Pelodiscus sinensis: one gene and its partner. The protein of the gene in region 1 interacts with the protein of each later gene in a pairwise test. Links are inferred from orthologs where the notes say so. Each region holds a gene or a part of one and is shown in the gene's direction. Other genes may lie near its edges.

The links.
Region 2: the proteins of GRAMD1C (region 1) and CD151 interact in binary tests that used the Homo sapiens proteins (3 or more experiments, as listed by UniProt). The link is inferred for Pelodiscus sinensis from reciprocal best matches to the Homo sapiens genes GRAMD1C and CD151.

What each region holds. Positions count from the first base shown.
Region 1 is NC_134711.1:147,726,592-147,739,188, reverse strand, and holds the start of GRAMD1C (protein Aster-C), read left to right. Parts: upstream 1-7,286; 5' UTR 7,287-7,375; coding exon 7,376-7,378; intron 7,379-10,483; coding exon 10,484-10,612; intron 10,613-12,597. Other genes in the region: uncharacterized protein LOC102459989, read right to left, coding at 108-174. UniProt on the Homo sapiens protein: Cholesterol transporter that mediates non-vesicular transport of cholesterol from the plasma membrane (PM) to the endoplasmic reticulum (ER).
Region 2 is NC_134714.1:120,079,049-120,090,779, reverse strand, and holds the start of CD151 (CD151 antigen), read left to right. Parts: upstream 1-6,921; 5' UTR 6,922-7,100; intron 7,101-11,731. Other genes in the region: late histone H2A.1-like, read left to right, coding at 594-995. UniProt on the Homo sapiens protein: Structural component of specialized membrane microdomains known as tetraspanin-enriched microdomains (TERMs), which act as platforms for receptor clustering and signaling.

The sequences.
Region 1 (12,597 bases):
ATGATCTTATTGGAGAATGGCTTAAAAAAAAAGCCTCACAAACCAAATTACAGAAATAATCCAAACACCTCCAAAGTAAGGAAGATATTTAAATAGTCAGAACTTACCCATCCACAAGGAGAACAGGCAAAAAGGTACTGCGTAAACACAGAATTTCCCAGCTTGCTGTTTCATAGTTGCTGAAGTGTATAGTTACTTTGTCCTTCCCTGTCCCTCAGTTTGTATGGACAAAAACATCTCTCTCTCTCTCTCTCTCTCTCTCTCTGTTGTTGCAACAGGATTTTGCATTCTACTCAATGAAAGTCACACTTTCTAAAGTTACTACAGCTTCAAGTTCACAGCATGATACCTGAATGACTGCCACATTTTAACTCGTTATAGTGGCTTCCCTGCCATCAGAATGCAGAGAGGACAACAACTATTCTCTTTGGGTACATCTACACAGCAACGTGCATTTCTAAATAACTTAGTCCGTGCCTACACAGAAGGCAGTTATTTTGAAATAAGGTCGAAATACTGTCAAGCTGGAGAACTTCTTACTCTGACTCCTGTAACCCTCATTGCATGAAGAGTAAGGGAAGTCAGAGGAAGAGTGCTCTATTTTGAAATAAGTGCTGTGTAGATGCTCCCAATTTCGAAATAAGCTATTTTGAAATAAGCGACACAAGTTACGTAGCTCAATTTGCGTAGCTTATTTTGAGTTAAGCCCTGCTGTGTAGATGCACCCTTTATTGCTTTGGACTTGTATATAGCAGCACCAGAACCTGGAGCTGATGACTGGCTATTCAACAGAAGGGTCCCTTTCTATGAAGCCCCATATGGAAGTGAAAAAGAACCATAGGCTGGATTTTCTCAGTGGCTGGGCCTTAGTTCCTATCGATTCCATTGGGAGTTGTGGATAGTCAGTGCTTCTGAAAATCTGGCCATATGTGCTATGTGTGGGATGAAAATATCTCCCCTCCCCCCCACAAGTATTTTTTTGAGGGTAGTAGAAATCCTGATTAACCAAATGTTGGTTAATGCCAACCCATGTTAACAGAAGCTTGGTTATGGGTTATATCCCTGAGGGATGGGAAAGGGGGCTGAAAATAGCAGACCTGTCTGCAGAATTGACAAAGGTACTATTTTGTTGTTTGTGGAAAGTAAAGCCGGGCTCGCACATAGGAACAGGTCCAACACTATTTTACAGGAAGAATTTCAGCAGCCAGCTTCACATGCTGCAACAGCTCACTCAGTACCCAGTCATCCTGCTGACAGTATTACAGCTGCATGGTGGACACACCACACCAGCTGCCTGCCTGGCATCTCTTCCCTGAGCTCTGGATTGGTGACCTGCCTTCAGATTTCTTGACGCCTACTGGCTCTCTTTCCTATGCCCACGGTGAACGGAAGATTTTGGCTGTTCCTCCTTTAAATAACTGGGAATGTGCTCTTATAGTCTGGTGAAGATCTTGTGATATTTGGTGTGTTTCTTAAAGGCACAGCTCCTGGAGTCATGTGATTATGAGAGCGCTCAGCTTTCACTTAAAAAAAAATTGCAGCCTGATTGGTTGGGAAGAAAAGCTTGAAAACATCAAAGCTAGCAGTTCAAAGCCCAGAAGGCAAATCAAAAGAAGGCAGATTATATTTTTAAATCAATCCCATGATTTTTGAATGCTTCATATTAGCCATACTGGCATTGACTTGTTTGCTCCAGCAGCTGGATGGAGACGCAACTCACAGAGATTGTTATCGTGTTGAGCAATGTGTCACTGGATGACTGCCAGAGCACTGCCGTTTATGGCCCATATGCTTTCCACAGCAAAGGCCTCAAATAGCCTCCCTGGAAAGCAGAAAGAGAAGTAGATTTCTCTGGCTGGAGCACATGGAGGCTTCGCTGTCCCAGGACAGGCAGTGCTGCCAAGTTTGAGGAGAAAAAAATGAGTTTGGATGAGCAGGGCTCTGCTGGAAGAGGGGATGTGGGGGAGGACCCCAAGGGGAGGGAGTAGAAAAGGTTGAGTTATGTTGGCAGAGGAGGCTCGTGGAGGAGGGCAGGGGAAAGAGGCTGTATTGAGAGGCTGAAGATGGGGGTGCAGGCTGTGCCGTGTGGGTCAGTTAAAGCGAGGTAAGTACAAGTGTAACCCTTTTGACACTGCTGGTCTACACAAATAGCCAAGGAAACAAAATGGCTGCCAAGCATGGCGGAGGACGGAACCCAGAGTGGTTACTAAGGCTGCTAGAGGGAGCCATGTGAGTGCACCAGCTGTTTGTGGGGAGCCGATAGGAGCAGCCCTGCGGAGAGATGGCATCACAGGTGGGAAACTTGTGTTCTGGCAAGAGAGACCTTTGGGGCCAAGATTGAAGCTGGAGGGAATGGAACCTGCCAAGTCTCCTTTGAGCCCCCCACTAGGTAACATTGCTGCATGGTTGTTGCCTCCCTTAGGCCAGGATGGGGATTGGGGACCTCAGGGCAAAGGAGTTGTGGAGGAGAAGACCCACAGCACCTGCTATTCACCACCCTATCAAATCCCAGTCGCCCTGACCCCTTACATGCCATACCACCCATAACTACACACTGGCCTCACCCTATGATTGTATCCCATGCCTCCCCAGTCTACTCCATCAGCAGGACCATCCCACCGCAAATAACTAGATGCTTGATATATTGTTTTCCTCCCCACACAATTTAAGGAATCCCTGACCCCCCTGCAGCTTGTCCTCACTGATCCACTAGTCACTGAGTCTACGTTTACACTGCAATACTATTTTGAGATACCGGAGTATCCTGAAATAGCTATCCCACACCTTCACAGAAAGCCTGTTATTTCAGGCTCACTATTCCGATGGCTCTGTAAACCTCATTCTACAAGAAGTAAGGGATGTACAGAGCCAAATGGCGAAATAAGCTATTTCAAAATAACATCAAAATCAGATACACAATTTGTGTAGCTCAAATTGCATATCTTATTTCGAGTTATGGTGCAGTGTAGTCACACCCTCAGGTGGAAATTTTCTTCCTTGTCACACTGCTCAATTTGGGTATGTCTACACTAGGGGACAAAGTCGAATTAAGATTCGCAACTTCAGCTACTTTAATTGTGTAGCTGAAGTCGAAGTAACTTAACTTGGCTTTTGGAGCTGTCTACGCTGCAGGAAGTTGAAGGAAGAACACTTCCTTTCACTTCCCTTACTCCTCATGAAATGAGGGTTACAGGAGTTGGAGTAGGAAGCCTGTTATTTCGAAATTATTTCAAAATAACAGGCTTGCTGTATAACCGCGCACTGTGTTATTTGGAAATAACCTGAGTTATTCTGAAATAAAGCAGCTGTGTAGACATGCCCTTTGTGTTTATAATGTAGGGATCTGAAAGCACAAGTTTGTAGGCATGTATTTTCAAATGTGCCCACTAATGCTGTGTCCCTCTCTTTGTGGGCATCCAACTTGAAACTCCCCTGGACTGATTTTCAGAGGTGCTGGGCATTCATTGCACTCCAATAGAAATCAGTTGAAATTGTCTCCAGAAAGGTCCCCAAAACTGAGGCTATGTGTAGACTACACCGATCTATTGGAAAAAGATACACAAATTGCACTCCGAATTTTCATATCTTTTTCCAACAGTTTTTTTGGAAGAGGTTTTTCTGAAATTTGGCCCATCTACACTGGAAAAGCCTCCTCTTTCGGAATAGCCCTTCAAATTTTTGGAAAAGCCTCCTCTTTTGGAAGAGCCCTTCTTTCTTGTGGGGGAGGAAGACATGACTTCCAAAAGAGCACGTCTGTTCTTCTGCAAAAAAAAAAAAAAAAAGCGGAAGAGCAGACGCATTATTCCCTGGACGCAGTGGAGTTTTTCCAGGATAGGTCCAATATCCCAGAAAAACCCTATAGTGTAGACATAGCCTGAGTATATACAATTATGGTAAATTTTGGCCTTTATTGATAAAAATACTGACTAGACACACCTATATTAAGAATATGGGTTAATACTAACACACACATTCAGCTGGAAATGAAAGTACTAAAAATCTGACCTACTTTTCATCTGCTGTTCATGTTCTTTGTTTATTTTACTCAGCTCAGACAGTGAGAAAAGGCTGGATTTTCTTTTTTAATTCTTTTACATATATTATAACTTTTAATAATAAATGAGACAAACAATTAACTATGTTTTGTCCAGCACCTAGCACAATGGTGCTCCTAAATGCTACTGCAATACACACTATACATAAAGACAATAATGAAAATTAATAGCCACCTGATTCTAGGGGATGTCTTCAGGCATAAAAGAGAGAGAGAAGTGTGTTTGTGTGTTTCTTTACTTTCATAGGTAAAGTACATATACATCAATTGCCAAATGATCTACTTGAGAGAGTCTCTATTTTTACTAGACACACACCAAGTATGATAGAGATACATGACATTTTAAAGACATTTAAACAAGTCCATCCTGCTCCTATTGAAGTTTGTAGCAAAATAACAAACATATAGTGCTTCAGAGGGGTAGCCGAGTTAGTCTGTAACAGGAAAAACTTAAAAAACAACAAATAGTCTAGTAGCACCTTGAAGACTAACAAAACATCAAGGTTTTGTCTACACTGGCGCAATCTTGCTCCAGAAATATGCAAATGAGGCTAAGCGTGGAATATCGCCGAGCCTCATTTGCATATGTAATGAGCCGCCATTTTGCGGAAGAGGCTCTTGTGCAAGAAGGAGTGTGTATACTGCCCCTTTTTGCGCAAGAAAAACCCTCTTGCGCAATGCCATTACACTGATTATTTTCAGGAATAACGGCATTGCGCAAGAGGGTTTTTCTTGCGCAAGAAGGGGCAGTGTACCACGCTCCTTCTTGCGCAAGAGCCTCTTCTGCAAAAATGGTGGCTCATGAGATATTCAAATGAGGCTCGGCAATATTCCATGCTTAGCCTCGTTTGCATATTTCTGGTGCAAGATCGCGCCAGTGTAGACAGTCATAGATGGTATCGTGAGCTTTTGTGGGCACATCTGAAGAAGTGGGTTGTGGCCTGCAGCCCACTCCAGTGCTCTTTCCACTAGCCCATGCTGCTTCCCAAAAGTGGACATGATCACGGCTTGAGGCAGCACAATTCCAAAACTCCATTTGCTTTCTGTGGGAGCAGTGTTGGGCCCTAAATGAGATCACAGTAATAGATGACAGACAAAGGCTGGGGAACATGAGAAGACTGGGGGTTAAAATACACCAACCAGTATGAGAAATGCTTTGTACAAGTCTTGTTGGTTGCTTCACTATTTTATTTATTTTGGCTATGTTATGAATATATTTACAGCTTGAGGGTATAAAATCAGGCAGGAGTGGTAACGAAATTATTCCCGGACCAACATTACTCAACCAATGAGCTCATGGCTCGAGGTGATATTTAAAGAAGAATGTGCTTGCGTGGGGCCAGCTTTACTAGTGAGCTCAGCAGCCCATTTGGTGTACGAAACCTATTGAGCTCTTTTGAAAATCTAACCATAAGCATCACTTTGTGAGCGGCTGGGTGCTGGGAATGTCTGAACATTTGGCCCCATTAGTCAGAGCTCAGGTGAAACTACCCCTCCCCCCAAAGTGCACCGGAGCATGAAGAATATTCCACAAATAAGGGGCAGTGTGAGAAAGGACAGAGAGTAAGAGAAAGAGACCAGGGGAAGAAGATGCATTAATCTGGTAGAGCATAGGGTGCAAGGGAAATCTGTTGTAGACATAACCAAAAGCTGTAAAGCATACATGATTTATCAAAACATTTACAGAATAAGATATCTCATGAGGATTGCTCCCTCAGAGAACACACCTTCAGCATGTGTATAAGCTTGTATGAGCTTGAATCTAAAACCCATTTAACCCAGTCATGATTGTTCTTTTAATTACACTCATCTCCATGTACTACAATTATTTCACCTTCTTGTTCCCTGTACTGGTAAAGTTCTGTTTCCAACATTCAACGGTGACATTAAAATCCAGTTTTGTTTTCACAGATTTTTTTAATGAACTGAAAATGTTTCTGGTTCTATTAAGTTTTTTTTTCCTCCTGTCAACATGCTGGTGCTACATTACTTTTTAAACATTGTTACATCACATTTTTTTCTCCCTGAAGGCAGGTTTTCTCTCTTTCCCCTCTAGGTGGCTCTGTGAAGTAGCATTAAAACATTTTAAACTACAGTAGTCCATTCATGTAATATCAGACGGATGGACTACACAACATAAAACACCTAAAATCACCCATATTTATACAGGATTTTTCATTCAGAAGAACAGGTCCCCAGGTCCTTTTTAAACTGCTAGGGATGAGTTCATTACATACCACTGAATCAACACGAAAATTAAAAACATCTAGTTCTCAAACACTACAGAAGTTGGAGTTGAGGATTATTTGTATGGATTTTATATGATCTGGGTTTAAATTTAATTGCAGAGTTGATAGTGGAAGAAAATAGAAATCATGTTTGAAGGTGTAGCAGTAGAATTATAGCCCAGAATTCATTCTTCCCATGAAAATATTTATGTGGCTGGGAAGTGGACAATCCAGTCAGGATCCCCTCATGGAGTTTTCCTTGGGTTGTTCTTCTGGAGGTAGAGGCTGTAGTTATAGGGTCCCTTCCAGATTCCCAGGAGAGCAGGTCCTTCTCTGCTAGAAGCTTTGTTACTCTGCGCCAGCTCTAGGTTACCCCAATGTCCCTTTGGAAACAGGCTGTCACTGTCCAAGGGACACACCTTTAAAAGGGAGGGGGCTTTCCACCAGTACAAAAACCATCCCAGAAGATTTAAGGCATCCTCATGCTGCATTAGTGCTCATCTTGCTTCTCTTTGGGATAGTGAGGAAACTATGTGCATCTCTCATGGTCTCCTCTCACGACATTCCTTTGACTAGTCTTGGCAGACTTTCTTCCAGCTGCAGATCCCTCTCTCTGCAAAGTAGGCTTTGTGGGGTTAGATGGGAAAAGTGTGAGGAAGGCAACCAACATCTTCCTTTGGGCCAGGAACCAAAGGGAGGGGCTCATACTCACACTCATAGGATACAAGAATCTGTAGGTGAGATGTGAGTTATTTTTCAGACAGTGAACAAAACTTTGGATGGCTCTGCATACAAAATTAAACATGCTAACGAAGGCAGTAGCAAGTAGCTGTAAATGGAGCTCTAAACCAGGCCCTGACCTTCATTCAGCTGGCTAGCTTCGTATTCCTTTTCATTAGCCAGCTTGTTCTCCATAGCAGTTAGATATCAGCTAACTCTGAGTGTCAGGTTTACTCCCTTTGTATGTAGAAGCCTTTCTCCAGTCTTCTGATTGTTGCTGGCCCTTTAAATTACAGAGAAGGCAGCAGCTGCAGCCCTATGGTGCTCATTTTAGAGGCAATCAGCTTGCAGGTTGCATCTCCCTCTTCTCTCTATGGTAAGCATTTGGTTCTTCTTTCTTAATTTTTGCTTTCTAGTTTTGCTAAGGGCTTGCTCCTTTCAGGGGTGGCTGTTAAGCCACTTGGCTTTACAGAGAGAGGTTTAATGGTCTCCTCACAGTGTGTATGTGAGACCTTATGCTTAACTAGTTTGTTTGTGTCATCAGAAGTCCTGTACTGCCAGCTGCTAGACTATTGTTCCCTTGCAAGCTAGCTATCCAATAACAGCTGTTAAAGCAACAAGCTAGGCCATACTGTGACTAGAGAAGTAGTGTCGCTTGCACCCCCTCATCTCTGCTATCGGTGAGGGTTGTTCAGCTAGGGTTGTCTATCTTCACTCAAGGTTCTGCTGGGAGGACTCCTTTGCTTGTTCCCTTACTGCTCCTGGATTTTGGGTGAGGGAAGAGTAGCAAGTCAACTTGCTTTCTGTGCTTCATCTTACATATACAGTCAGTGTCTTCAGGGGAATGGGCTGCCTGTTCCTCTCCCGCCCTTTGGCAGCAACATTCAAAACTTGACTTTGCCTTGCAAGCTAGAGCTGTGCTCCCACAGCCCTGTTCTGTTAAGGGGTCCCTAGATCCTGGTGGTTTTATGCTGCATCTTTGCTTATGCTGCTGTGTCACTGAGGGTAGCATTTGTACAAATCTAGGACAGGCAATGGAGCAGGAATCCAAAAGGAATATTCCACATTCCTTTTGCAGGTGTCTATAAAATGTGGATTTTAAGTATTTTTTTTAATGAGAGTTTAGCTGTGCTGGTGAAAGGCATCAGAAGGAAGGAAGTCTTGGAAGCTGTAATATTTTATCTCCACAGCATGCAGCACGGGCAGTGGTGATGCCTGCATCCCCATTATGGGTCTCTGTTCTGCAGGGACTGTTTTGGTAGATGGCTCTCCTGGCTTTGTGGAGTCTGCCAATGTTAAGTTTTTTCTTCCTGCCTACTAGAAACTGCCTGACAACCTGTCTGCTCCTTTCTTATAGCCACCAACCATATATCAGATGGTAACCAGTTTTGGCCACTAATGATCTGGGCCAAATTCTAAACCACAGCTTCTTCGTGTTGATCTGTCTCTTGGCCTTTCTTCCTGCCTCTCCAACATTGGATTTTTTTTAAGCTAGCAGTCTTGCAAGCTGTCCTTTGACAGACTCCACGGTAATGAATACACACAAAGGAGCTGAATTAAGATTGCTGCAACAACCCCTTAATTGATAAGAAAATACAGGCTCCTCCAATTACACTACCAAGTTTTTGGGGGTGATGCGTAGACAATAGCAGTGATGATCCCTGGCTGTTTAAAATTAAGGGGTGCACATGTGGGACATTTTGAGAAAACACTTCTCACCCGCCTCGAGCCTCTCATTACATCTCATCAGGGAGGTGAGAGCATCTCAGCTTTCTCTCTCCCACGATGGAAGCTGGCATCTACTGCTCTGTGACCCAGGTGTCCTTATTATTGGAGGGCACACAGCAGCTGCCCTGGTTGCCGAGTGTTCCCCCTGTTCAGTCTCATTGGAACAGGAGCGCTCCTGCAATTGTCACTTTGCCTTCTCTGCTTGAGCTCAAGAGCCCTGAACATGAGTGCTTCCCCTCACAGCAGTCAAAGAGTAAGGAGTGCTCCGGTGACTGGTGCCATGCTAATCCGTATGAACCCCCAGCAGAGAGGCGGTAAGGTGTGGAGCAGTGAGTTTTCCCTCCCCCCGGACAGGGAGCTGATGAGCAGATCGAGATTCCTTAATCACGGTGACCCCATTTGTCAAAAATGGGATAGTGCAGGAGTGGCCAAAATACGGCTGCATGTGGCTCTCTGATAGTTAAAGTTCTGCCCATAGACCTTCCTAATGATGTTAAATTGGGTTTGATCAGCTAATCTAGTAGTTGATGGAATTTCCATTGACTACTTGATAAGGGGGAAACTGCAGAAACACATACACATCGCCCACACACGTTGCCTCTAGCTTCTGCAGTGGGGAGGTGAATTTGGGGCTTCAGCCCTGTAGAGCAATCCTGCCACACCTTTGGAGCAAGGCTGAAGCCCTGAGCCATGACCCTGGATGTCCTGGTTCTCAAACTTCTGAAGACTGTCACATTCAGTTTGGAGAGTCAGTACGTTTGGCCATGCCTGAGGTAATGTTTTTACAGGGCATTATTGGCTATTACAAGCAATGTGGTTAAGTGATTAGGGGCCTAGACTGGGACTAGGGAGAACTGAGTTTTATACCTGGCTTTGCCACTGATCTGTTGGGAAAGTCACTTTGCCTCTCTGTCTCAGTTTTCCCCATCTGTGAATAGTGCTAATGCTATTGATTGCCTTTGTAAAATATGTGAGATCTACTGATGAAAAATTCTACATAAGAGTATTAGTAATAATATAATTTGGCATTTCTGAAGTGCTGTGTTTAGGTAGATGTGTATGGACAGTAGGGATGTGAACCAGTAAGTATCATCCTTGCCAGGTGATGCTTACCAGTTATGGTAACTGGAGAGGATTGGAGCAGCCTCTCGCCTGCTACAAGCAGGGTGCCCTTCTAACTCTGTGGGACCCTCCATGGGGGGGTTTTAGTCCAGCACTGGCATGCTGGGAGCAGCCCCTGTCCACGGTGTGGGCCCCCATCCACTTCTGTTTAATCAGTTAATCATAATGTTTAACCTGTTAACTAATGAAATGGGATTTTACATCCCTAAGACAGTGAGTAATTATAATTGGATCAGAAAACCAGAACTTCTCCCTCTTTTTTTTTTTTTTTTTTTTTTTTTTTGATTAAGGATTCCTTTGTAGTTTAGTTTTTAATAATTTGGTTTGAGTTTATGGCTTTCATGGTGGTTAAGATAACAACTGTCTTTTGACTGTTTGCAGAACACTGATGTTCAGGTTGAGGGACATTTGGAAATAAAACCTTAATGCTTATCACATAATTGACACTGAGAAATTGTTATTCATTAGTTAAGAATCAGTAAGTGGGAGGTGTTTCTCATAATTTCCCCTGTTAAATGTAGCCATGTAAGGTTTTATTATGAATCCTGCAAATTGATTAACCACCTTTTATTCCAACAACTTTCCCCTCCATTACAAAATAACATGCTTTGCTTGCTTGCTCGGTTCACAGGAAATCCATGAAGTGGATCATGGTCTCATCCGCCAGTTGTTTGCAGATTCAGAGGAGACTCTTGGTGCCTGTACCGAGAAAATGCAGGCCCCTGCTCCATATAACTGGAGTGCTGACTGGAGCTTTTGGGTAACTCGGTTGTTTTTTCTCTTAAATTCATTGTTACAGATTCCAAGGCCCAGAGGGACTGTTTTGAACATCTAGTCTGCCCTCCTGTCTAACACAGGCCATAGAATTGCCCCAAATGAAAAGCAGATCTTTTAGGAAAAACATCCAGTCTTGATTTTAAAATGGTCATTGATGGAGAATCCACCAAGATTCTTAATAAATTATTCCAATGAGTTAATTACCATTGTGATGGGTTAGATCACAGAAGTCCCCTTGGAGTTGTCCCCCGGTGTGCTGATCATGCTACTGGTGCCCACCTTCCTGCCCTCTTAGGCTCCCCCTAGCCAAGTCACAGAGTTGGGGTTACCACCCTTCTGCAGAGCAACACAGATGCTGAACCCATTCAGCTCTGGGAGGGCTCAGCACACAGGAAACCATCCTCAAATGGAACCTAGGCCCCAAACAAATCCATCTTACTGTGTGAATGAAAGAGAAATATGCACAGTGGTTGTTCTTCCTCTCCCCCCTTTCCAGGTAACAGTTATTTACATTGGGCTTGATAATAAATAAAAGCATTTTTATTAAGTACAAAGAGTAGGATTTAAGTAGTTGAAAGTGAAAAGAGACAGATTATAGTAAGTTACTAAATCAAAATGAATATAAAACACTTTTAGCTAGTTCTAATCCACTAAGAAACTTGTTACATGCAAATTCTTACCCTGAACAGTTGTTCCAAACATCTCATTCACTGTCTAAGCAGCCTACTAACTTAGGCTCGATTCTTCCCCTGTTCAGTCTTAGATGTTTCCAGCAGGCATCTTATGTGGTAAGAAGGGGGAGAGGGAATCTCATGACATCTAGCAATTGCCTCTATTCTTTGTTGTTTCCTCCCACCCTCCTTTATATACATTTTGCCCAAGGTGGGAACTCTTTGTGCTCAGTTCAAACTTTTCTCACCTTGCGTGGAAAGGCACCAGATCCAAAATGGGTTTCAGCTCATGTGGCCTGGCCACATGTCTTTCTACGACCAACCACAGTTTGAGCTTACAGGACAAACAAGACTATTCACAGGTTGTTGATTTGATCACTGAGCCATTAATTGTCTGAAGCATCCATAATGGCTCTCCTTAGCATATTTAAAAAGATAAATAGGAGCCACACTTTATAGTTCTAAGTTCACATACAAGAATGACACACGCACAAAAATACAATGTACACATTCAGCAGATTGTAACATCAACATTGATATGTTGTATGAGGTATTTTGTCTAAGGTGTCTTTGAGTTATACCAATATTCATATTCATGAGCCAATTTTCATTAAGCACTGGGGTCGGGACAGTACCGTGACAATGCTCACTGTTCAAAATGGAGGCCTTATTTATAAATATGTACTATTAGTGCTTTTTATGCAAATTTCTTTGTAGCCTTTAATTAAAAGCTTCCCAGCCTGTTCTGTGAGGTAAGTAACTTGTTACTGCTTCGCTGTAGGGTAAATGGAGATATAAGGAGGTGCTATGCCTATGCTAGTATCTAGTCAGTGGTAGGTCTGGATATAGAACCCAAGAGTCCTGATTCCCAGTTCCCTGATTGGGTAAGCTGTACCTTCTCTCTGTTTTCTGCTCATAAAAATGGATTGCTGCCACTTTTTCTCCAGTAAAGACCGAATTTCAGTCACTGAGGGTATGTCTAGACTACATGCATCTGTCGGCAGAGGCATGTAAAATAGGCTACCCGACATAGTCAATGAAGGGGGGATTTAAATACCCCGGCTTCATTAAAATAAAAATGGCCGCCGCGCTGTGCCAGCACAGCTGATTGTCGGCACAGTGTGTGAGTCAAGACACGGATCGGTTGACAGGGGAAGCCTTTGTTGACCGCTCCTGTAAACCTGTTTCACGAGGCATAAGGGAGCAGTCGACAAAGGCTTCCGCTATCGACCGATCCGCATCTTGACTCGCACGCTGTGCTGATGATCAGCTGAGCTGGCACAGCGTGGCGGCCATT
Region 2 (11,731 bases), on another chromosome or scaffold:
GGTGGGAAGGGATTGGCTTGTGGGGGAGGGAATAAGACAGATCCTCTACAGGAAGAGCCTAACTCCTCAGCTTTGTTGTCCCTGCCAATTACCCCTGTTCCCTTAGTCACATGGGACTGTTTCCAGCAGAGGGAAAGGCCCTCAAGGTACAAACTTCACAACCTAGTTGGGTTCCTCTGAAGGTCAATGGTGCTGGGAATAGGAGGGAGGGGCAGCTCTCTTCTGCAAGGAACAGCAATACTTGTTCCTTCACGTACAGGAGCCAGCTTTGGACACCAGAACTGCTCTAATGAAAACTGTCGAGGACCATTGCCTTCTAATGTCCTGCCTGCCTTGACCTAGGCTCTCCTCTAGTACACCAGATACATGGAATGGGTACCATTCTGTACACCCTCTTCCTCATTTCCAAGGTGGAATGTAATTGTAACTATGCTGCTATATTGTCCTGTGGCCAGTCATTTTGTCACTAAGTGTGTTGGGAAGCTGGTTCGTTCTTACAGGGGCTTCTGTGTGGCTTAAGATGTGCACTCCCAGCCTCCTGTGTCAATGCAACTTTGGGTGACTGATCATTGTTCTTCTAGCCTATTGACAGAATGTCTGGACACAGCAAGAAGAAGGCGAAGTCCTGGCCTTTGAGATCCCAGTCAAAGAGGGCCGGCTTGCAGTTCCCTGTGAGCCGTGTCTACCGGTACCTGAAGAAGGGGCACTTTGCAATGAGAATAAGCCCCAGTGCTGCCGTCTATTTGGCCTCCGTGCTAGAGTACCTGACTGCCGAAGTGCTGGAGGCAGCCGGGTACGTGACTCAGGCAAAGAGATCCCACCGCATCGTGCCAAGGCACATCCTGCTGGGCATTAAGAGTGATGATGAACTGAACAAGCTGGTCAACCATGTGACTATTCCGCAAGGAGGTGTCCTGCCCCGGATTGAGAAGCTGCTTCTGACCCAAAAAACCAACAAGAAGCCTGCGCGTGGAAAGAGAGCAGCCCCCTGCTAGTTCCCTTCCTGCTGAGCCTTGTAAGGAGAAGTGGGACCTGGCTCTCAAAGACTGGATTTCTGTGCTCGAGGCTTCATTTGGTTTGTGTATTGCTGCTAAAGGGTATTTATTCACACTGGTGGTTTGTACGTGCTTTGTATGAAATACAGATTTATTGGACTACCTGGCTCTTATGATTTTGTTTTAGACTCAGACTTTAAGGTCAGAAGGGACCATTATGATCATCTAGTCTGACCCACTACACAGTGCAGGCCACAGAATCTCACCCACCCCTCCCAGAATAATCCTCTCACCTATATCTCAGATATTGAAGCCTTCAAATACTTTGAAGACCCCCCCAAGATGCAGAGAATCCTCTAGCTGTGATCTGTACCCCATGCTACAGAGGAAGGTGAAAAACCTCCAGGGCCTCTGCCATATTTGGGGTCAGGAAGGAATTTTCCTCCAGGGTAGATTGCCAATCAGCTAAACCCTGAGCATGTGGGCAAGACTCATCAGCCAGACACCCAGAAAGTTCTCTATAGTAACTCCTATCATCCCTCCATTGACCTATTCCCACTGATAATGAATGGTCAATTAGTTACCAAGATCATGTTCTCATCAAACCATCCCCTTCATAAACCCATCTAGTTTAATCTTGAAGCCAGATAGATCTTTTGCCCCCACTTCTTCCCTTGGAAGGCCATTCCAGAACTTCACTCTAATGGTTAGAAACCTTCATCTAATCTCAAGTCTAAACTTCCTACTAGCCAGCTTATATCCATTTGTTCTTGTGTCCACATTGGTATTAAGCTTAAATAATCCCTCTAATATATTAAAGTGCAATCATGTCCCCCTTCAGCCTTCTTTTGGTTAAGGTAAACAAGCCAAGCTCCTTGAGTCTCCTTTTATAAGACAGGTTTTCCATTCCTCGGATCATCCTAGTGGCCCTTCTTTGTACCTGTTCAAGTTTGAATTCATCCTTCTTTAACATGGAGACCAGAACTGCACACAGTATTCCAAATGGGGTCTCACCAATGCCTTGTATAATGGCACTAACACCTCCTTATCCCTACTGGAAATACCTCGCCTAATACATCCCAAGGCTATATTAGCCTTTTTCACAGCCATGTCACAATGGCGGCTCATAGTCCTTCTATAGTCAACCAGGACTCCGAGGTCCTTCTCCTCCTCCGTTACTTCCAACTGATGTGTCCCCAGCTTATAACTAAAATTCTTGTTGTTAATCCCTAAATGCATAACCTTACACTTCTCACTATTAAATTTCATCCTACTGCTATCACTCCAATTTACAAGATCATCCAGATCTTCCTGTATGATATCCCGATACTTTTCTGAATTGGCAATAGCTCCCACCTTTGTGTCATCTGCAAATTTTATTAGGACACTTCCACTTGTGGTGCCAAGATCAGTAATAAAAAGATTAAATAAAATTGGCCCCAAAACTGATCGCTGAGGAACTCCACTAGTAACCTTCCTCCAACCCGACAGTTCACAACCAGAGGCTCCCAGCTGGGAGGTGGGGCCGCGACTGGCACTGGGAGCCTCTGGTAGCATGCAGAAGCTGGGCAGGGGGAGTGCCTGCCTTTTGCATGCAACCACAGGGCTCCCAGTGCCAATCATGGCCCCGCCTCCCAGTCACTCCCCTGCTCCCACCATGCTTCCCTCTGGCGCTCTGCCAGAAATTCAGAAAATACTGGACATTGCACATGTCTGGTATCTTCTGAATTTTTCTACCAGACAGAGGGTGCAAATACTGGACTGTTTGGTAGAAAACCAGACACCTGGCAACCTATATGATTGAGAGGAAAAATGATCCCTTTGATCTGGTCTAGTAGTGCCTTAGCAACAGGAGATCTGGCTTCAGTCCTAACTCTGACACAGACTTCACTGTTATCTTGAACAAGTCATTTAGGCCCAATCCTCAACGGTGTGTAGGCTCCTCCCTCCCTCAAGGCTCTGGACTTTAATCTCCACCTTAGTTCTTCCCCTATGAATGGGGATTATTCTTGGATGAGTGCATTATACAACAGGGCCCTAATGTCAATGGAGCCTTCAGATGCTACATAATACAACCAATAATAGGGTCTGGAGAAAGGGACGCTCTTGCTGAAAATAGTTATTTCCACAATGCTACAGCAGAAGGGTGGGGAGAGGGCCCCTCCTGCCGCAAGGCACGCAGAGGACGGAAATGCCTTCATGTGAGAAGAGTGGGTGGTCTTTCCCCATCTGCTAGTGCCAGAAATGAGCCCTGAGCAAGGCTCCCCCAAACCTAGGGGAGAGGAATGCCTCAATTGACCCAGAATGAGGCAAATGTTGTAAAATGAACCATCTGGCCACTGCCTTAGGAGTCTGGTGTGAGGCTGTAGGTTGACTCCTCACTGGAGCTTGTCCCAAGTATGTGCAGGTGTATTGCTACTACCTGTTCAGTCTGCTGTACCCATTGTTGTCCCCAAACAGGAGGAGATCTGACCCTACCCAGGCACTGAAACATCAACATGCTCCTCTTTTTCCAGCTGGGCCGAGGATAGCCACTCTTTCATGGGTGGCAGGTATGTTAGGTGGAGGAAGGCACTGCCTTCCCTAACCACCAGCCTGGCCCCACCCACACTCTGCCTACTGGGGCTGCATGTCCTCTTCTCTCCCTGTGCTCCAGGAGCCTCTGTCTGTGTGGAGCCTCATCTTCCTCTGATACTGAGGGGGGAGGGCCTGGGCAGAAGGGGTGGGAGTGTGGGGGCAGGGGAGGGCTTGCCTCCCTGAGCCTTTACCTTCACCCACCACCCATGCACACTCCCCTTCTCCATTTCATGGTCACTTCTGCTCCGGCTCTACACTCAAACACCCTCCCAGAGTGCACTTTGCCGTCTCTATACTCTTGCCCCATCCCTTGCTCTCCTTCCAACAGAGTACAGATCAAGCAGAGAGAGGTTCTTTTCCTCTTGCCCCATACACACTGATTCCAATAGGCTGAACAGGAAGGGGACTCTCCCTGATTCAGGAAAAGGGGTGGGTGGGTGTGGAAGCTGGCTCCCTGAAGCCAGGAAGAGGACAAGGTGCTCTGCTTCAGCTCCCCTTCCCCAACACACTCTAAGAGCAGTTTTCTCTCTAACACCTGCCACACATACTTAAAATCTGCCTCTTCCTTCCTCGTCATCACCTCTTTCTTCCATTTTATAGCCCCTTTCTCATAACCTCAGGTCAACTGTAATATGAACTTATTCTCCTCTTTACTGGGAAGAGGGTGCCTCTGTTTTGATTGAGGTGAATATTTATGTATGAGGGGGCTGCCCCATAGATATAGCTGCAAAGAAATCCCCCTTCCCCTCCCCCCACACTCCTCTACAAACAAAAGAATATGAGCCTTGAAAGTGTGGCACATCTAGTCCTCTCATTTACTAATTTCAGCGGGGTAGTGGTGTTAGTCTGAATCTGCAAAAGTGACGAGGAGTCCTGTGGCACCTCATAGACTAACAGATTTATTGGAGCATAAGCTTTTGTGGGATAAGACCCACAAAGATTCCACTACATGCATCTAAGTGGGTCATATCCCACGAAAGCTTATACTCCAAGAAATCTGTTAGTCTATGAGGTGCCACAGGATTCCTTGTCATTTACTATTGCTTCCTGAGTTGGACAAGAGTTTTCCTTTGTTCCAGTTCCTTATATAGAGGCATATCCTAATTCTGAGATATTTAGGCTAACCCGTATGGGAAAATAATGGAGGGATGAGGCAACCTACCAGTCTGACATGGCTTCTAGTCTGCCATGTAGAAATCTCATTAGTGAATGTGTCTCAAACAAAAAAGTATATTTCCTGCTGGAGCCTCTAGAAGGGCACAACCTCTGGCTGGGCACTATTTTGCCATGTGATGCAAAGGGGGATGGTGCTGTAACTTGTGTGTATGACACCCCCGCTCAAGCATTCCAAAATCATTCTTTAGCTCCCCCCAAAACCAGGCATGCCTCTTAAAAATCATGAAATTGTATTTTGCTTGCTTGGTCTTCTGGTGTTTAGCCTTTAGGGCACACTTGCATTAACTCTTCAAGGTTTTCTGAGTAACCAAGAAAGCTAGAAGATTACCTCTATTTATTTCTAAATGAAAGGTGAGAGTCTCATGGAATCCTATGATTCCAGGAGTTGGGGCTTTAAGAAAAACATCAAATAGCACAATAACATACAGGAAGTTGTTGGCCATTAGCCTGAGAAGGGGGTAATTACAGCAGGACCTCCTGACCCAAAAATGTGTGGGGAGTGACAATCCCTTGGAGAAGCACAGCTACTGTGGAAGATAGAGGTAACTAGCATTGTAAAAATTATTTCTCTGTAATCTTTGGGAGACTTGGCAGCTCTGTTCTTGTCTCATCCAAGTGGTGGTGGGAAGGAGGTTAGTGAACAGATAAACACAGTTGTCTTTTAAAACCACAAAAAATACCCATCAATTTTAGGGTCCTCAGGCTCATGACTTTTTAAGCTCCTGCACATAGGAGCATATGGGTTTTTATCAGGGTTCAGAAACTCTTCTGAAATGCTGAATAGGGTGATGCCCATTGATGGCAGTTTGTGTTAAAAATCTCAGCCTAAATCAGTGGTTTTCAAACTATGGGTCATACTGGGTGGTGGAATACCAAGCCCTGGGTCATTTTGCTGTAAGGTAACCAGAGGAGGTAGACTAAGGCAGGCTTCCTGCCTCTCCCAGCACTGAGGACCACGTTGCGGCCAGGAACAGTTTGGGCACAGGAGTCAAAGAAATCAAGTGGGGATGGGGAGCAGGGCATAGAGCCCCTTGCACACCTCCACCTAGGAGCTGGACCTGCTGCTGGCCACTTCCAGGGCACAGTGCATACCATCATGCCAGGACAGGCAGGAAACCTGCCTTAGCATGACCGCTGCATGGAATCCACCAGAATTAAGCCCTTGTCCAAGTCCAGAGCCCCCTCCTGCATCCTTCAGCCCTGCCCTAGAGCCTGCACTCTAGTCAAAAGAAGTAATTGTGGTGGGTGATGGGCACCAGGGCCCGACGGAGGCATGGGTGAGCTGGGCAGCTGCCCGGGGCGCCAACCGATGACGGGTGCCTGATGGCAGCTGTAAGGGGCACATGGCATCCCTTACAGCTGCCATCAGGTGTTGCGCGCGCCTGGCTCCCGTAGCACCCTTCCCCCCATGGCTGCAGGTCCCTGCACGGCCCAGCGCACGCGCAAGGCAGGGCCGGGCTGGGCAGCTCGTGCGGCCTGGGGGCAGGCCCCGGGCTGTGCGCCAGCAGCCGTAGCGGGCATGCGCATGCGCCGTGCGTCCGGGGGCAGGCCTGCGCACCCTAGGGGGGCAGGCCTGTGCCACACAGGTGGGCCCGCGCGTGCGCCGTGCGCCATGGGGCAGCGCCGCACTCCTGGGCCAAGGGCGCCAAAAGGGCTCGAGCCAGCCCTGATGGGCACTGACAATTTTCTTCAACTGGTTCATGAGACAGAAGTTTGAAAGCCACTGGCCTAAATGTTCCCCCTCTTTATCTTGTCCTGCCCCCTTCAATCTCTCCCTCTCCCCCAGATGTTTGGAAAGTTAAGTCTGAGCCCAAAGGCGCCACTGAGGAATGTGGCAGGAAAGTGTGGGGAGGTAAGTACCTACATGCATCTGTACGCAACACAATCCAAAACAAATATTTCATTGTACACCTGATTTTTCTTGAGCTTTCTAAGTGGCTCATAACTTCCAGAGCCCAGCTGGCCTTGGCTTTTCTCCTTGAGTAAAAAATCAAACCGACTCAGTTTCAACCAATCCAAACAGAACCAGGGTGTGGGGCTGTCGGTCTGGGGAGCCACGGGGCTGCGGGCAGTGTTGTAGGCGGCCCAGGCGGGGGAGGTTATAGCGTTTATTGGACCAATTCTCCGGTTTACTCAGGGCGCCCCTTTGCCCGCTAGGCGTCTCCGGGTGAGCGGCGAGGCGGCTTCGCGCTGGTTCAAACCGTGTGGCGCAGCAGCTGCGGGAGCGGGCACTGGGAGGGGTCTGTAGCCGCGGCTGCAGAGCGCAGGGCTCGCTGCCTGTTTCCACTGCCGCAGGAGGGGCGGACTCGCTCGCCTGCTACCGTCGCGTGGGGCTCGGCGCGCCGGGAGAAGGTAAAGGGAGGCGCTCGGGGGCTCTGCCCGCCCGGCAGCAGCGCCCAATGGTCACAGCAGGACGCGGGGAGGGGGAGCGCGGCGCACCTGAAACAGCAGCAGGGAGAACAAAGGCAGCGCTCTGCCTGCAGCCTGCTCGTCCGGCGGCCGGGTGGTGCTGGGGACTGGACGCTCCCGGGCGCGGCCCCTAGGCTAGCGGGGGTGGGGGGAGAGCAGCGCCTTCCCCTGCCTGCTTCCTTGCCGCCCCAGATGCGCCTTGTTTACATAGGGCGGCTCAACTCTTCCCGCAGAGTCCTCGCCTCGCAAAGTGTCTGGGCTCCCTGCTTGCAGGGCGGTTTCCATTTGCACCTGAAACCGGGACGGTCCCAAGCTGGGGGGCGGCGCAAAAACAACGTTTTACACCCCCCCCCCCCCCCCCTCCTCCAGCACTTTGGGAAGGAGCAGCCAGTGACAGGAGAGTGTCCCCCTCCCCAAGAGCGGAACAAATCCCAGCTCCCTGGGGCAGTGCCCTGGCCTCCGCTTGAAGGCCACGAATTTCCATGCGGCCGAGATGGCCCGTGAGAATACTCTCCCCCTTCAGTGTATCTAGTACAGTCTGAGGCTTAAAGCGACTCAGGGGCTTGTCCAAGAGGGTATATGCTGTCTGGGATCCGCTGGAGCGCTGTGTTCACAAGTCATTGCTCCTCCCCACTGGGAGTCCTGGTTCTGCAATTAAGTTTGTTGCACTTTCTTATAACAGGACTATGTAACATGACTTCCTCTGATGCTAGGAAATCTGCAGAGGCTGTTTATAGCACAGGATTCTGGATAGTCTCTTAACTTTGTTGAGTAAAGCTTCTCCTCCCCCCCCCCATCTGCTTTGTTCAAGGCTACCCTTCTGTATAAATAAGTTTTGGCCTTTTGGGTTAAATATTAATTGGTGAAATCTTTGGAAGGTGGGAGAGAGAGAGGCAGGCCAGAGAGCACATTTACTAGGAAATCCACTCAAGTGTTGTTCTCCATGTGTTGCTGTTTTGCGTCTCCGTTTTCCCTGCCTCCCAGTTTGAAAGTGATTGGAGCTGTGTGACTGTAGCACCACATGCAGAGCATTCGCCAGCAGCCTTTGCTTCATGGCATCGAGTGGAAAGGCTAGATCGCCATTAGGGTGTCGTGATCAAAGAAACCCTTGAGAATGAATCCACCCCTTTGCAACAGCTTGTTGGTAGTGAGGAGCATATTTAACAGAGAAATCCTCTGGATGCCCCATTAAAAACCTTGTCACTTATCTTATCTTCTCCTCCTCACCCCATCTGCTTTCTTGCCCTGGGGTTTCACAAAGTGCTAGCCTTTCCTATGGATCAAGGGTTTGGATAAAGGTTTCCGAGGTGGCAGCCATTTTGCTGAAAAGTTATTTCCTACAAGCCAGCCATTTGGGATCCCTGGGTGGTTTTTGCAGTCCATGATGGGTTTACAATGGTTTAGGTTCTGATGGAGGCTTCTAGCGTGACAGTCTCGTTAACATGCAGGCCAAAGGTTCTCTCCGTTGGTTAACTCAACATGAAGATGGAACAGAAAGGTCTTCCCCCATCACTAAAAATGGTTGTTCTGAAGAGGCTCGGAAAAGCCGCTTCTGAGTTAAAACCTCAGCTTCTGGGTATTAGTTTGCTGTGAAGATAGGAAGACCATACCTGTCCCAGAGGGGTTTTTACAACCCCAAGCACTTAGTTTGCCTTTGGGCCTAGGGATGTAAAAAAGAATTTAAATAGTTAACTGGCTAAATGGCTAAAATTTTAACATTTAACTGGTTTCTCCGCCTGTCCGTTGCTCTGATACGGCTGGGGTGGGGGGAGTGGTCCTGAGGCCTGCCAAGACTGGTAAGAATTGGAGCTGGCCAGGGCCAGAAAATCACCTGCCTGCTCTGTGTGGCTGAGGCCAGGACATCACTGGGACGTGGCTGGAACACCAGAGTCCCACTGGGATGCAGCCAGGGTCAGGATGCTCCTGGGGCCGGGATGCTATGCTGAGTCGGAGCAGCTGGGGTACTGACAGCCACCTCCATGCCGGCAGGCTCCCCACAGCTGATGTAGACGCATCTCTGCCTACCCTCCCCTCATAGTAGGCTGGATTAAGCCAGGGCTGCTCCAGCCTGCTGTGGTTCATTGTGAAACTGGTTATGCAATGAGCATTCCGGTAAACCTAATGCTTACCAGGTAACCAGTTAACCTTTAACATCCCTACTTTGGGCTTCCGTAATGCTGCTGTTGTGATCCTGCCTCTTGTCATACACTAGGAAGAGTGGAGTTCAGGGAGAAACAGGTGCAACCTTTGTGTTCCATGGCTGATCTGTTACTCGGTCTAACAAAGGTAGTAAGTTTTCTTGGACTTTAATCTGTGTTTTAGGTAACACAGGCTGCCAAATGTCACATCTGTGTTTGTACATTGCCTAGCTCAACGGGACTGCATTGTTGGGTGGCAGTTTTAGACACTACTGGGAGAAACATGATTAACAAACCTAGTGCCTCCGGCAGTAAAGGGAATTGTTTGTTTCTATTCTGGGAGTGAATGTTACTGAGCCCAACTGTGATGACAGACAACTCTGTGACCAGAAGAGATAAGTTGCTTTTTGAGATCTGCAGCTTCTGACCCATAAAGCCCCTCTTACACTACATTTTCCCTCAGCGGTTTCAATGCTCTTTACTGCCTGACCCGAACCTGTTGTGCATTATTTGCGGCAGCTTGCTAAACAGCTTCTGTTCTCTAGCTGGCTGCTTTACGGTTCTGGCTCCAGTAGTCCATGTCTTCCTGTGTTTTACATCTTTAAAGGCAATAGTCCAAAAGTGCCTATTTAGATCAGTATTCCAGAGACTTCCCACTCTCTCCCGTGATTTGGTACAAGAGTCTTGCAGCCCTGCAGTAATTTTGAGAGAAGTTTTGAGACGTTTTCTATTGAGTTCTGCATTCTCTCACTGCTGCTCTCCTGAGTTCAGTTGCATCCCCCAGCCCTCTTTGCCAGCTTCTGGGTGGGCAGCAAGATGTCCCTTTCCCTAGGTATCGAGAGTTTCCTCAGACAGTGAGTAGGGGTTTCATAAGTGCTTCTCCAATAGGTGGTTTTATCTCTGTGCATCTGGTATAGAGGGAGCAGAGCACTGATTAGGGAGCTCATCCTAACAGGAAAATTGGCTTGAGTGCACCCTGCCCTGGAGGCTTTTGGGGATGAAAGTAACCATCTTGTGGGCATCTTGTGCTGAGCGTTTGTATGGCACTTGCCATCCTCAAAGCACTCTGCAAACATGTAAGCCTTCTGATGTTCCTGCCAGTTAGGGAAGTATTGTTTCAGTTTTATGGATAAGGAAACTGAGGCACATGAAGTAACATGCCTAACGCTGCTGCAAAGTCAGTCTTAGAGCTACGGCGAGAACAACTCAATGACTGTTTTCTAGAGCTGAGCTCGGGGCACATCTCTGACATCAGTATCATGGAAAATAAGAGGGGGAAGCACTCAGAGAAAGGCCCTGTGCGGTGGCAGGGGGTGGTTGTGTTGCAGTCTCATGAAACCAGTCTTTTTCACTCAGAGTGCAGCGTGAGACTGTGCAGGGAGAACTGGGCCTATCTGTTCTTGCTGATCAAATACAGTAGCTGTGGTGATGACTTTTGCTCTAGGACAGTCTCAGTGTTAATCTGTAGCTGCAAAACCAAAGAAGAGTCCCATGGCACCTTAGAGTAGAGATGTGAAAGTTTAACCGGTAAGCATCACCCTAACCCTTAACTAGAACCCGTACACATCACCAATTAACCGGTGGGGGCTTGAGCAGCTGCCACAGGCAAGGAGCTACTCCAGTCCTTTGGTGCCTGCTGCAAACGAACAGTTCTGACAGGCAGAGGGGACCACTCCAGCCCAGCGGCAGGCTGAAGTGGCCCCCACCACTCTTTTAATTGGTTAACTGGGTAACCAATTAAACGGGATTTTACATCCCTACATTAGAGAGTAACAGATTTATTAGGACATAAGTTTTCATGGGTAACATCCACTTCATCAGATGAATTGGAGTGAAAGCAGGGGTATATACAAGGAAGAAGTTGCTTGTATTAATGAAGTGAGGGTGGAGGCGGATCAGTCACAGCAGTTGATGTGGAGATGTGAATATCCAGAGAGGGGAAATTGTCTTTGTAATGTGTTACCCAGTTAAGATCCTTATTCAGTCCTAAGCTGATAGTGTTGCATTTGCGAATGAATTCCAGTTCAGCTGTCTCCTACAAAAATTGGTTACAAAGGAAAGGCTGTTTTCAAACCCGTTATTGAATATCAAAGCAGGTTAAAATGTTTCCCTGCAGATTTATGTGTGTGGCCATTTCTGACCAAGCCTAATAAATGGAGCAACTCCTACTTTACAGCATGGCCATGCTTTCCCTCTGCCCCTGTCCATGCCCTTTTGGGAGGCTAGTGTCTGTGTGTACATGGCCATCCTGGATGGAGACTTGCAAACTTCTCTATTAGGGGAAATGCCCTCCCGTGGTGCCCAGAGCTGGGGTTCACTCACGTAGATCGAGGGAGAGAAGGGGATGGAAAACTGCAGCCTGAGAATGAAGTTCCTCAGCAGAGGTGCCTATACAGTCATAAGTCCATGTAGCAATAAGGGAGGTCATATCCAGCC